2 linked regions of the Lytechinus pictus genome follow. The protein of the gene in region 2 purifies or fractionates together with the protein of the main gene of each other region. This does not show direct contact. Links are inferred from orthologs where the notes say so. Each region holds a gene or a part of one and is shown on either strand. Other genes may lie near its edges.

Region 1 (7,652 bases), on a different chromosome or scaffold from region 2:
CACATGATTCAATATAGCAGCAGTGCTGACTTCGAAAACTACTATTATTCACAAAAAACACCATTCATATGATACAATACTACATTCATTTACAATAAATGACATTTGACCTTGATCGTGCGACCTACGACTTGTCAGTGATACTTGATATCCATATTTATAAACTACATGTATATCTATAAACTGAAAGTTATAACAGGAATCTAATAATTACCTCCAAAATGGCCAAAGTTCAATGACCTTTGAATTTGGTCATGTGACCTGAAACTCAAAGGAGATGCTCAGTGATACTTGATTACTCTTATGTTTTATGAACTAGATCCATACACTTACAGAGTTTATGATGGTAATTCAACAAATACCCCCAACATGGCCGAAGTTCATTGACCTTCGACCTTGGTCATGTGACCTGAAATTCGCACAGGATGTTTAGTGATACTTGATTACTCTTATGTCCAGGTTTTAAGAACTAGACCAATAAACTTTCAAAGTTATGATGGTAATTCAACAAATACCCCCAACTTGGCCAAAGTTCATTGACCTTAAAGGTAAATTCCAGTTTTGGGAATGATCTCAAAATGACTTTTTACAGAATTTAATACAATGATCACCAAAGTGTCTGTTTGTATGAATAAAAAATATGTGCCAAAGGATTCTTGAAGAAATTGTGTAATTGCTGAGAAATAAGCAAAATAAGTGCGGATTCGGTCACTTCCGTCGGGTCTTTATTCCAGCAATAATAATACACTGTCCCACGTGTGCCTATCTGTGTTGGCGATCTTCAGTGTGATAGTTTTTTAGCTAGATATTATGATTTCACAAAATTCAGTTTATGTAACTGTACCAGATCTAGATCCACGATGATATATCAATACTTTACCTTGGTTTTACAGACTTTCTCACAAAATCAGTGTTTGACTGCAACTACGTTCATTTAGCTTTAAATGACATTTGACCTTAATCATGTGACCTGAAACTCGCACAGGATGCTCAGTGATATTTGATTACTCTAATGTCCAAGTTTCATGAATCAGAAATCAGATCCATAAACATTCAAAGTTATGATGGTAATTCAACAGATACCCCAACTTGGCCAAAGTTCATTGACCCTAAATGACCTTTGCCCTTGGTCATGTGACTTGAAACTCAGGCAGGATGTTCAGTAATACTTGATTAACTTTATGTCCAAGTTTCATGAACTAGGTCCATATATTTTCTAACTTATGCTGTCCTTTCAAAAATTTAATCTTCGGTTAAGATTTGGTGTTGACGTCACCGCCGCCCTCAGAAAAGCGTTGCCTGTAGTCTCACTATGCTATGCAGGTGATACAAAAATGAAATAATGTATAATTCAAGAAATAAATACCAAAAGAAATAGTGAGGGACATCATCGATTGTCTAATTTGCATGACACCGAGTTGTAGGCCTACTGTTTTGTGAAAAATACATGTAAACAAAATTATAAAATGTCATAACTTTGTCATTTTACATCCGATTTGATGGAAATTTCAGCATTATGCTAGTTTGATTTTTCTCTTTTTATCAAAATTGACATTTTTCTGGAGTGGACTTGACCTTTATCTAAAGACTGCAGATTTTTACATCACTGTAAATAAATTAGTTACAGACTTTTCTCTTAGTATTTTTGGTCATAAGAGAAAAGACACCAACTATGTTCTGTACTGTATCTGCTAAACACCTTTTGTGTAGAAAAAAAAATGTGGAGAAAATTGCTATGAAATAACAGGAAAATTACTCCTGGTAGCAGCTAAAAGGACACAAGACCCATCTTTCCTCTTCTTGAAACATATTTTGAAACACATCCCGTATCACACCTAGAAATACATGTAGTGGCATAGAAAGTGTTGTTAAATATTAAAGACATTGACAACCAGCCCAGGCCAAGGAGTAATCGAAGAGGATGCGGAAGCGAACCCTTTTTTCCATAGATACTGTAGTTAGCATCGGTCGAACATACATTATGAGCCCTATGGCCGACATCCGTCTGTGTAGCCCTAGTACTTAGTAGTAGGAAAAAAATCTGAAATGTTTTTAAAAAATCCTCAGAAACAGCGGATATATCACTCAGTCTAACTTGTCTACATCTATCCACTGGACTTCCTTTCACACTGTATAATGCACTTCTTCAATGCCAAATAGATTGAAACAGCCTTAGAAACAGGTCAATTCCGATCCAGGGCCCCGTAACACAAATCTTAGCGATTAATTGCTAATATGAAAGAACAATTCTGAATGGTTCCTTGTCAGCCAACTGAACAAAATTCACGTGCAACACTGATCGTGATAGGCCATTTCATTTAGCGATTAATTGCTAACCATTGTATTACAAGGCCAATCAATTTCTGGTGGGGAAATTTGCTCGAAGTCAGCCGGTGTGAAACCACATTACTTTAGGATTACCGCTGCCCTGAATCCTGATCTAACTTGCAATGTTAGGTCTACCTTCAATACTTCGCCTTTCTTGAAGCCAAGTTCATCCTGATCATCCTTTGATGGCGTAAAGTCAAATTGTGCCACGTACTCCATACTTTCCAATAAATCCTGCTCAATGAATGTTCATGTTATACCGTACAGACTGATCCTATTTATTGCAGGTTAATCTGCCAACAACAAAAAAACTCTCACAACAGTCTGACACTGACAGCAGCCTGTCTTGTCTGCCAATGGCAATGCTGCACACGCACTAAATCTACACACTCTTCTCTATGCGCTGAGTGAGACTCCACACAACACAAGAACCACAAGAATAAGTTCATGAGTTTGTACACACGCCTAGGCAGTGTGCGATTCCTACTCTCAACGTCTTCAAAACGAACGTCAACGTAACATTAGTCCTTCGATTGCTGTTTTCCAAAATGTGAAGAATCTATACAGGTCCCACTTGAAGAAACTTTATCATGCCTTATTGTTTCTGAGTCGTTTTTTTGTAACTTTGTTGCGAAACTTCTCGGTGTTTCCCGATCCCGTACCGTGTTGATCACCTACGTAATTTGCGGAAGTTAAAATCGTGTGCATGTTGCGCGCGTGGCGGCCCGATCAGCGCGCACTACCTCGTACCTGTACCCGTGAACTCAAAATTTATAAAAGCGAAAATTACCGAGAACTTTCCGTCCTCAAAAAGGACCCAGAAAGTACGTAGCATAATAAGAAACCGAAACAAAACATACCAGGAAAAAACACGAACAAAGAAAATAGAAGAAACAAACAAATAGCGTAGGAGGAGGAGGAAGAAGAAGAAGAAGAGTGATGTCACTTTTCAGGTATATATATATATATATATTATAAGTCTTCTTTATATATATAAATATATATATATATATATATATATATATATTATATATATATTATATATATATATATATATATATATATATATACATATATACATATATACATATATATATATGTATATATATATATATATCATATATTTGTATATATGTAAATATATGATATATATATAATTATATATACAGTGCGTATAAAAAAAACGGGACAGTTTTGAAAAGTCTATAAAAAAATTTGTTTCAAATTATGATATCTATATTTTGATGTTAATAGATGCTCTGAAATCCAATCTTTGAAATATGCCCCCCCCCCAAAAAAAAAAAAATGTCATGCTTTAGCGAACACGGGACGTTTTAGTCGGGGGTTCAAAGAGAGGCTTGCGCCAAAATGGCAGAAATGAGAAATTTGCATGATAGACTTCTTGCTAATTATCAGACTTCCTCTTAACCTTTTCATTATCTTTGCCATGATTTTCGAATATGCTGTCAAATTTCATTTACAAATTTACTTATTTACTTGAATTATTTTGGTTTTTTTTCATTGAAACTTCTTTAACATTTGAATTTCCTTCATAAGTAAGAAAAGAAGACTTTTTGTCAATCCAAGCATGAAGATTGCATTATAATTGGGAGAACTTGTAATTATTCAAATCGTATTTTATTATGAGAAACAAATTATGTTATGGTACCTTTAAATAACATGAATCCTATTTTCAAGGGATTTTTTAGACCAAGTTTAATTATGCGCTTGACAGGCCGACAAACGGGAAAGGATTCACGCCGACAAACAGGAAAGGATTCACGTCTTTCAATGGCAATGGTGTATTTAGTCAATTTTGAAGGAGCTATAGATATCTATAATGGCAGGGGTCCGTTGCAGAAAGAGTTGCGTTTAAACGCAAGTCAAAAAATCAATCGCAAGTCCCAAATGTGCGCTGATGATTGGTTGAAAATCAAGTTACGCATGATTTTTCGAGTTGCAATTGATTGCAACTCTTTCTGCAACGGGCCCCTGATCGGATGAAATGTATTTAAAAAAGTAGTGAGCGAGCAGGCAAAAATTTCCACTTTTTAAATAAAATATCAAATTTTGTGATATATTTTGACATAATATTCAGGAAAGAAATCATATTTCACTTTCTATCTTTCCTTTTATTTCCTTTCCACTTTTTTTTATTGGGGGGGGGGGGGGACGCCCCGAGCCCCCGCCCATCTGTATGCCACTGTTCAAAATCACCATAACCTTTGTAGCACACAATGAAAGGATTTGAAAAAATACACACTCTCCCATACTTCGGTTGATTTTTTTTTTTTTGCTTAAAGAAGGAAAATTTAAAGCTAGAAGAGAACATATTAAAAAGAAACAACAGACAAATTCAAGCAAATAAACAGATTTGAAAATGAATTTTGACGGCATAATTCGAAAATTATGGCAAAGATAATCTGCTGATTAGCGAGAAGTCCGATCATCATTATCATTTTATGCCATTTTGGCGCAAGCCTCCTTTTTTAGCCCCAGACAAAAACATTCCGTGTTTGCTAAAGCATGAACAAAACTAAATTTTTTTTAATGGCATTTGAAAGATAAGACTTCAGGGGCGGTATTCTGAGGTCATTTTATCTTTAAAATATTTTATTTTATCTCTTAAAACGAAATTGGTATTCTGAGATGACATTTTATCTCTCAGATAAAATTTACAATTTTATCTTGCATAAAAAATTTATCTTGCGTAACTATAGATGATACGCATCAGAACAGTGCCTGCGTAGACGATACCGATCGCGTATCTGGGTATTGCAACGCGGATGATGTGCTTGCGCCCAAGTTACTTTGAAGAAAAAAATAAAATAAACTTAAAAGAGGGTAGGGGCTATTTTATCTCCGCGACGTTGATTTCACCAATATTTCTAAAATGTTGACATAAAAATGAAGAAAAATTATATATTTATTGAGAATAACACCTTAACGTTATTCCTGTACAATCAGAAGTATTTCATAAGACTTGTCTTGACTAATATTGTCTTTGATATGTTGCTTGAAAAGATGTGATATAGACTTCGAAAAAAAATGAGAGTATTGTCCTTTTTGTTAAAAAGAAATATCTGTAAAGACGAGCAAGCGTATAGTGCAAGCGTATTTGAAGTCGATAAATTAACGCAATCTCACCCCTTTGCCACACCTCCTGGCGGAATGGATTTCAATTGGTTTAAGAGTGACACGAGAGAGCTAAAGCGCGTTTCTAGTTGGATATTGATTAAAAAGTAGGTGTGTCTTACATAGATAAAATGAAGATAAAATTGCTCTCAGAATACCAATTCGGAGAGATTTTAAGGGTATTTTATCTCACTGATTTTAACGGAGATAAAATATTTTATTTTATCTGAGATAAAATGGATCTCAGAATACCACCCCAGAGCACCTATTAACACCAAAATATAGACATCATAACAAAAATTTTATAGACCTTTCAAATCTGTCCCGTTTTTTTAATACGCACTGTAGGCCCTATATATATATATATATATATATAGTATATGTCTCATGATGAGAAAGAGACACGTACATATCTCAACAACAAATTAATGCGAGCGCGAATGCGGGCTGAATTTTTTTAGTATACTGACCTAAAAACAGGAAAAGGTACCTGTTTAGGACTGTTTGTAGTATAACTCGGGGAGGATACATATCTCACTACACAGATCAATGCGAGTGCCGAGAGAGAGATAGAATTTTGTTATATTCGGAGCTGAAAGCTCGATATTCTAAATATAGATTAAGATGGGTATCTAAAAGAACAATAGATAAGAGCGCGAAGTGCGCAAGCTGAAAATTTTGATATTTCGATCTGAAAAAATTGACAGTTCAATGGACGTTTTTAATAAAGAACAATTAATATATCCAACAAAAGATCTTTTGGGGTTTAATATAGAAGTGAAAACGGCACATTATTCACCTATTTAATCATGCGAGAGCGAAGCGCGAGCTGAATATTTTTATATTCCAATCTGAAAAGCGGACATTCAATTTGAGCACGATTTTATATAAAGAACGAGTTTTTGTATTTCAAACTCACTTGCCGATTTCTATGTAACATTACAATGTGATTTTATTTTTGCACATCTGGAATTATGGGGGGGGGGGCAAAACAATATGTTTGCCCCCCCCTGGTGGGGCGATCACCCCGCTGCCCCCCCCCCCCCCCACTCCCGGATTGACGCCTCTTGATGTAGACATGATGAGATGATTATCTGGATGGCACTTTAAACTTCCATAATTAAGAACTCGTGAATTTTCATGAAAAGGATTATCTCAATCTATAACAGGCCTATTTGCATGACCGTGAAATGGTGCTATTAAGCACCATTTCAGCCTATGATCGCCTATATGTATCTCATCAGTAAATGACTGGCAATGCGAGCACGAAGCGCTTTTTTTCATACTGACATTAATTTTTTTTCCAAGTCTTCGATCCCGCGGCCCGGCCGCCCTCACCTATATTATGTACTCGTCTTCCTCCTCTTATATTTTTCTTCTTCCTTCAATTCTCCTCTCCTTAATGACCCTTCAATATCTGTTTCTCCCCCCCCCTCTTTTATTTTTTTGTTGCGCCGTTAATAGGCCCCCCGGGGGGCGGCCCATGGGGCGGCCCAACTGTTAGTTGAGCTCTAGATCAGTGGGGGGGGGGGGGGGGGGGGCGGTGGCGGCGGCCCCTCGCCCTCCTGGATCCGCCTAGCGCACTCCGGACTCAAGCTGGATTGCGCGCGCTACGATCTAGCGCGAGCTGAACAATATTACGTCATTCAAAATGTCTGCGCCCTTGTCATAATATAATCTGAATGCAGAATTTTTGGAGGATGTTGTATTGAGGTGATTTAAAGAAAGTATCTGCAGTATAGTTAGTAGCCTTCTCTCTAAAGCACCCTGTTGGGGACAACATGGGGAGTAGTGCTAGTAGCAGCGCCAGTGGCAGCGAAAGTGAAGAAGAAAACAGCGATTATGAGACGGTAAGTTTGATTCTCCGTCAACTTCTCGAACTCGGCATCCCTCGGCCCTGGCTGCGCAGCTGCGCCAGCGCCAGCCGCCGCCGCTACGCCAGCTGCTCGCCTCGTTTAATTCATGCGCATGAGGCAATGTAGTCGAGTTGAGGACGTACCAATGATGATGACTTTTAGAATAATGAAATATATGATGGAGGGACCTAAACTTAAGCTACGCACTTTGTTTTCAAACAATAAAAACTATCCCAATTTTAATATTTCAACAAATATCTTTCACTAATTTGTGGCAAACATAATTTCTAGATCATTAACCAAGTCCAAGTCCAAGAAGAAAATATCGCAAAA
Region 2 (7,131 bases):
GTCAGGGTTCAAACTCACCAGACATCCAGCATTAGAAGAATTGGTGCAACCCCCAGCGCAACTTCTGTGGCAGCAGTCCGCCTGAGTAGGACCTCGACAACGGTAGTCGCATGTTGAGCTGCAATCTTTTAGCGTTACTATAGAGAGGAAAAGGGAAAGACTTAATATTTATGTGTACCAAGACATGAAAAGTAAAATCCATGGACAAATTTAGACATTTACTCACAAAAAGAAATTTCCAGTATTATAGGTTAGATGACAGAATGCCTTTCATTCAGCATTTGTGACAAGACGAGAATTTACCTTCCTGCAAAAAAATGTCATGCTTTATCTTTTCAAACATACAAACCATAGATCAAAGTTATTGACTGATAATAAAGTTTTGAGTGATTTGGAGAAAATAATAATGCAAAATCAATTGAAACAGCTTCCCTTTATTCTTCTAGAAATATTTCAAATATTATCTATTTCAATGGACCAAAATGTATAGAGCTTAATATCTTCATATTATGAATAAATAACTGAGGAGAATGATGATGTATTACATTGTCTACTCACATATCTGACAATGGTCCTCTCCTGGACCCCAGCATCGACCCTTGCATGATTCATGACATTGGTGTTCTGTGTAAAAGAAGATGAACAAAGATAAACATTAATAATTATAAATTACTTTAACAAGAGGAAGTGGCACTGACCTTGCACATATCAAATTGTGTATAAAAGAAGTACTTGCATTCCATAAATAAAAATTATGGATATGTATACCATATAGAATACAATGACTGCATTAGTAATCTTTAAAATACTCAGAGACAACGTCCCTATGTATCATTATTTAAAAATTTTCTCAACTAACAGATTTAAAGAGCAAAATAAGTTTATCTTTCTAAGTAGCTAATGCCTTTCTTGCTGTAAGCACATGAAATAGTCCTCACCTAAGCAGTTACGTTGTGGATGTTCATCCCATACTGAGAAGTTGGCTACCAAACCAGGTTGCATGTCATCCCAGGCAATGGTCTGTACATAGCACAGTTGATTATTCTGATGAAAGTATACATCTCCTTTCAAGATTTCTGCAAGAAAAAACACAATTTTAGCAATACTAGTTTAAAAATTGAATGAAACCATGATTAATATGATTGAATTCCTTTTTTAATCTTAAAATCAGTATGTTTAATCAGGGGAGGATCCAGGATTTTCCAAAGGGGGGGGGGGAATTTTTCGGAGGAAAATTTTGACAAGCCCCCCCCCCCCCAAAAAAAAAAAGGTTTTCAACAACAAATTAAGGATATTTCGTACCCGAAAAAATTTGACAAGCCAAAAAAAAAGGTGTTCAATTTCAAAAGAGGGGCCACACCTCTGTTTTCATGGCATTTTTACATTACAAATTTTTAATTTTGCTTCTCAAAAGGAAGGGGGCACGTGCCCCCTGGATCCGCGCCTGGTTTAATCATCATTCATCGATACGAGCGTTTGATTGGGATTTATGGAAGAAGTATGTGACAGTTCAGATCATGTCAAAAACATCAGCGTAGCAAAAATCATTGATCTGATATCACAGCTGAGAATTTAAGTGTACCATAGATATTACCTCGCCTTTGTTTTTAAGGATGCCCCATGCTGAAATGCTGAATCTGATCCAATTTTATTCTCCCTAAATGTACACATAGGCATCATTTGAATATTCCCAATATTTTAGTGTGCTTAAAGAACCAAGGAGGATGTTTAAACCCCATTATGCTTTTTTGTGTTAAACACCTTTTATGAAATACTGGTCACTACCTGTTTGAATGAACTACCCCATTGTCAAAAACCTATTTGGTGTTTCTCCTGTGGTCTTCTAGCTCATAAAACCATAGAGACAAAGAGGTTTTAGACCAATGGAAATATTTCAAATATATACCAAAATGGTGCATGGGCCAAGGAGCAGCTAGATATCAAGACTTCTTATTGATAGCATAGAATTAGACAGAGTGAGATTAGACCAATAACCAATTCAACACTCATTGTCTATTTCTTTTACCCAAGGCTATTTCAGAATCTCTGGAAATTGTTTCATTCAACTTGGCTGATTTTTCATATTATTCACTTCTGCTATTCAGGAGCCGATGTGGATCCAGGAAACATTCCCATCATTAATAGAATATTTATCTTTTAAGTTTTTAACTTTAAATAAAAACCAAAACCCCAAAAATAATACATGAACAAAGTATGACAACAAATAATAACTAGGTACATAGCTATCAATAGACTTACCATGTAATGATGTTAACCAAATCTCTTCTGTAGCTATTTCTGGATCTCCTGTATGAAACGTCAATGCAACATAGAGGGCGTACTTGTCGTCGTAAAGCTTTGTTCCTCTGATAACCCGTAAGTTTGTGAGCGGTATCACCCGGGAATACGTCAAGAGAATGAGAATATATCCTGTGACTTCCCGTATCGATGAGAGAAAGCTAAGATCATATTCTTGCTCATGGAGAAAGGATATTTCCAGGTTTCCGTCAACGTATGTACAGTTTGTATATCTTTCCTTTAAATCTTCATAGTACTGTTGCCTTGCTCCGGCAGTATCGCTGTTGTATGGTTTAGCGGTACCTTGATCTGTGCCAGTACATACTGTAAGAAGATAAAAACAAAAGAAACAAATTAAATACTGGTATGACAAATTTCAATTCTATAGCATGGATTAAGGGGAAGGTCACAACTAAATGTAGGCACTGTGAATGAGAATAGAGCATACAGAAATTATTTTTTATTGTATTCGGAAAATAATACAACTTAAACCCCTAAAACAGCATATCTTTAGCATTGATCATTATAACCACACTTGCCTGAGCTATATTGATCATAATGCACACTATTTCCCTCTGCACCCCCCTCCCTCCCTCCTCCTCTCCACCCCACCCCCCCCCCCCACCTCCCTCCTCCCCTCCACTCACCCAGGCACAAACTGCTGTGTGAGTCTCTGCTGAGCTTGTTCCATTGAGCTTGTTCTACTACATTCCAATCCATACCAATTGGGAATACTGGTATCAAAATATCACATCATTCTATCTTTGATGTGTTTCATATTTTGATTGAAACCTGTGTTTAGATACTCAGAAAACACACCAGAGACAAGTACCTGCCAGAAACCAGTTTTCACAGGTAAAACATAAACCTAATCACAGGTAAAGTAATACTAGTAAACTCTGTCTTCCAGGTATTAGAATTACAAAATTTATGTTTCCTATTCATTACACTATAATTGATTCATATTTCTATTAAATCGTATAATCTAAAGTGAAAGGGCACATGCTGCAAACAAAGTGAAGTAATTTTCCATAATTTGACATTATCTGAGTTAAAATCTATAAATGTTTCAGCTATTATAAAAAAAATTGCCTGTTTTTTATGAAGAAACTATTTGGTCAGAAATTGTTCCTGCCTTTCATATATCTTTGTATGCTAAAAATTAAAGTGTGAATACTAGTAATCATAACCTTGTGAAAATGCCAATGTGGTTACAAAAAAAAACCTGTAATTACAAAACATAAAAGCCAGTACCAATTGATACTGATTTTGCATCCATATAATTATAGCCTTCAAAATATAATACTCATATCATTTTCAGTGAGATTAGCTTAGGATCTGTGAAAAGTGGGTCATTTATTTGGTATTACGTCAAAGTGGCAATCCCTTGATACCTGACTTTGATATTGGGGTTGCTTTACACTATGATTGCCTGATATGGGTCAAAACCAGCTATGTCAAAGAGGGCATGTCCAGGTGTACTTTGATTTGGGATGAACATTTAAAAATCAAACCATCATTTAAACAAATGAAAAATTGATGCATTTTGGTGGTGGGTGAAAGGGAGGGGGGGGGGTCAGTCACGATTTTGGTGTATATTTCTGTAAATCTGTATTACTACAAACATCATTCATGTTGAGACAAAAGTGTTTGCAAACCTATCAAACTTTTGATATAAAGGAACAAACTGTGAAAATAAGATGGATACATTTTAAATGGTGTCATATTTTTTTAACGCAAACATGAAAAGAAACAGTTAAGTGTGTCACTCACTGCATGACAGCTCATATTGAAAGATAGTGGATGGTTGGAGTAAAATGGGAGAGGGGGACATGCCCCTTTACCCCTACAGCTATCGAGCCTAACCTCTGAACTTGTACGATCTGGCATTTCTTACAGGTGTTTTACCTCAAAAGATTTACAACACTAAATTGGGCTAGAAAAGAGAAAATATGATTTCATCTCTTCTGTTGTAATGTTAACCTGGGGATGCCACCATCAATTGATCTTGAAATTGGTAAAACAAAGTCTAAACAAGGGGTTGAATGTCTAAAAACAGAATTATATTCACAAATCCATCACCCAAGAAGGCTCTCAATAATATCTGACTGCATTCTTCCATACAAAGGTGTTCTAGGTTCCTACATATCCATAATAGTTTTACAAAGTCACTACAAAATCTTTGCTTATTAAACTGCGATTGAAGCACCTCTTTTCAAATTTAATTGGGTAACTTGAATTTAATTTCCACATTATCTTTATTTTCCTTACTTCCATGTGTCCATTATTTTTAATTGATGTAAGCTTTATACTTTACTTATTTTACTTCATCACTGTGTGAATATGTTTTAACATATGAGATGTAGGCTGAAACCAATATGGACCTACATGGTTTTACATTATAGAGATGCAATGTAAAAACATTGCAATTCGTAAGTTTTCCTGCCAGAATACGACTTGTCAAGGACCCATATTGTTGGGGGGAAGAGAGGGGTACAATTCATATAGGGCTTACATTACAGGCATCAGGTATCGGTCTAGTTTGTTGAAACAGAATGTGCAATAGCCACTACAAGAAGTAACATGAATCACATCAAATTAACAGAAGACACTGCAAAAACACTTGCAAATAAAACCCAAATAGGATGGGACAACTCCCAGTATCAAGTTCTAATTATCAACATATCATCAACAACCCCAAGGTCAAAGGTCATAGCAGGTCAGACAAGAATGTAACAAAACCTCACTAAATACTTGGCCCTCTTGTAACATAGCTGTAGTACCATGGCAACCTAAAGTTGAGTCATCCATTAAAAACTTCTTGGGTCATACACAGAAGAGTAAAGTATCTGACATTCAAGTTGTTACTTGATATCTAGGGTCTTGAAAGACAAGGGGTCAAGAAGGTATGTTGAAATTCTCTGTTTGGGAACATTGAGACATCAAGGAGACATTGAGGAGGCATGAATTTTTACAAATACTGGGTAAAATATCACTGTAGAGTTTCTGTTTTGTATACTTTCATCTACTTATGGTGCTGTTTTAGCTGTTTTGTGTACATGTAACAATTTAATGCATCTCTCATTCTCACTATAACCTTCTCACTCATCTTTTAATATATGTACATTCAGAAGACCTCTCGAATTTTATATATATGACCAGAAGAAGATGCTTTGAAAGTTCTTCTAAGTCAGTATGCAATAAACCTTAGTGATATTTCTATTTAAATAACAAGCAATGAAAAATCTACTGACCACATATGACTAAATAACTTCAGAATGAGCCAAAATTGAAATATATCGCGCAAAATACTTCCATTACTGAATAGAATTTTGGCCTGTCATGCCTTTTCAGAACCTTGCAGTCTTCCCATCAAACGAATATCAGGAAGGATAATTTATGAATTTTCTGATGTCTCTGCTTATCAACAAGTAATCAAATGATTTCTGAGATAGAGACTGGTAGTTATTCAACATCTCAGGAATGGAGCAATAGAAGATGAACAAATTTCCCAGAAGAATAAATGGCCTTAGATTTGACAAATGATCTCACTAATGATCACTTTCTTAATGAACCCCGCTTATCATATATGACGAGATCAGATGTCAATCACTCCCCCCCCCCCCCCCATGAAGGAAAGTTGGTCAATGACCCCACACGACCTCATGCTGACCTAAATTCCACAGAGGTCGATGTTGTGTTGTATCAAAAAGTCATCATAGTACTTCTACGTTATGTGTATTGAAGGTTTTTGTCAGCATACAGGCCTACACCACAACAGCTTTGCTGATGAAGTTTTTTTCCTCGTTTTCCTAGCTCAAATTTACTTTTACAATTTGAAACGCACTTGGGTACAAGACCTTCGTTTCAAATGTGACATTTTAATAAAAAGACAAAGTATTATTTACAAAGAAAAGGGCATCTATTCCACATCCCAAGGACTCAATATCATTACTCACACTTTAAAAATTGAGAGTCAAATATTTCTAGGAATGAAATGGGGGCAAGAAAATAAATTTCACTGCTTACCGGGATTTAATGCGCTGGTAATAATGAAAGCCGTGTACTTTCTACGAATGTGTCACTGTTTGATTACAACACACGATACCCTAAATGAATACAGTGGGCCAACCACAAGAAAAGATGAATTATTTTCAAATCAAACCATCACTGGTGCATAAGTGAAAGCTAAAGCCATAGCTGAAGGCAAGATGAAGGGGGTATGACAAGGGGGGTGAGAATGGCTTGGGGCTGGTGGTACCTTAGATGGGTGTATTATTTACACATCTTGGGTGTTCGGTATCACTTTATTTTTGGAGGTATACAGCCACGAGCTGCTATAGAGTATCTATCGCAATTCCATCAAGGATTTCTACTCAGAGTATACTGTTCAGTGTGTTTCCTTCTAAGCTTCTCCTAGTAGAATATAACATCTCATAGAACTATAGAATTCTGGTGATTGTCATTGTCAACACTTATTGCTATGTCTATATAAGGGTCTTCAAAGCGTAAGTTTAAAAGATTTTAGGCTCTTTGGCAGAGCTGACACTCGTACACCAAAGTTCATTTGATTTTTTTAAAACTTAGTCATACGACATGACAGTGAACACACTGAATGATGTTGCCAAATCTCGAATGGACCCTTCCAATGCTCTACATGTACATACAAATTTTCCTACCTTACCAAAAAGAAGAGGATGATTCTATTATTCTCAATCTCTAAATACTTCCCAAAAACATCATTAGTATTTTATCAAAGACAACATGATTTAACAAACATTTATTGTATTTGTGTCACTGTAAAGCATAATTTTCTACCAGCGTACTAAGTCT

The links. Proteins that work in one complex are often made in the same cells at the same time.
Region 1: the proteins of receptor tyrosine-protein kinase erbB-4-like (region 2) and growth factor receptor-bound protein 2-like purify together in Drosophila melanogaster (affinity purification with western blotting; 4 studies listed by BioGRID, with this or other methods). This does not show direct contact. The link is inferred for Lytechinus pictus from reciprocal best matches to the Drosophila melanogaster genes Egfr and drk.

The regions. Positions count from the first base shown.
Region 1 is NC_087254.1:17,166,858-17,174,509, reverse strand, and holds the start of growth factor receptor-bound protein 2-like, read right to left. Parts: upstream 3,029-7,652; 5' UTR 2,548-3,028; coding exon 2,464-2,547; intron 1-2,463.
Region 2 is NC_087245.1:2,233,298-2,240,428, reverse strand, and holds the start of receptor tyrosine-protein kinase erbB-4-like, read right to left. Parts: upstream 3,019-7,131; coding exon 2,946-3,018; intron 2,623-2,945; coding exon 2,260-2,622; intron 1,077-2,259; coding exon 939-1,076; intron 625-938; coding exon 559-624; intron 138-558; coding exon 19-137; intron 1-18. UniProt on the Drosophila melanogaster protein: Receptor tyrosine kinase, binding ligands of the EGF family and activating several signaling cascades to convert extracellular cues into appropriate cellular responses. Known ligands include spitz, gurken, vein and giant-lens.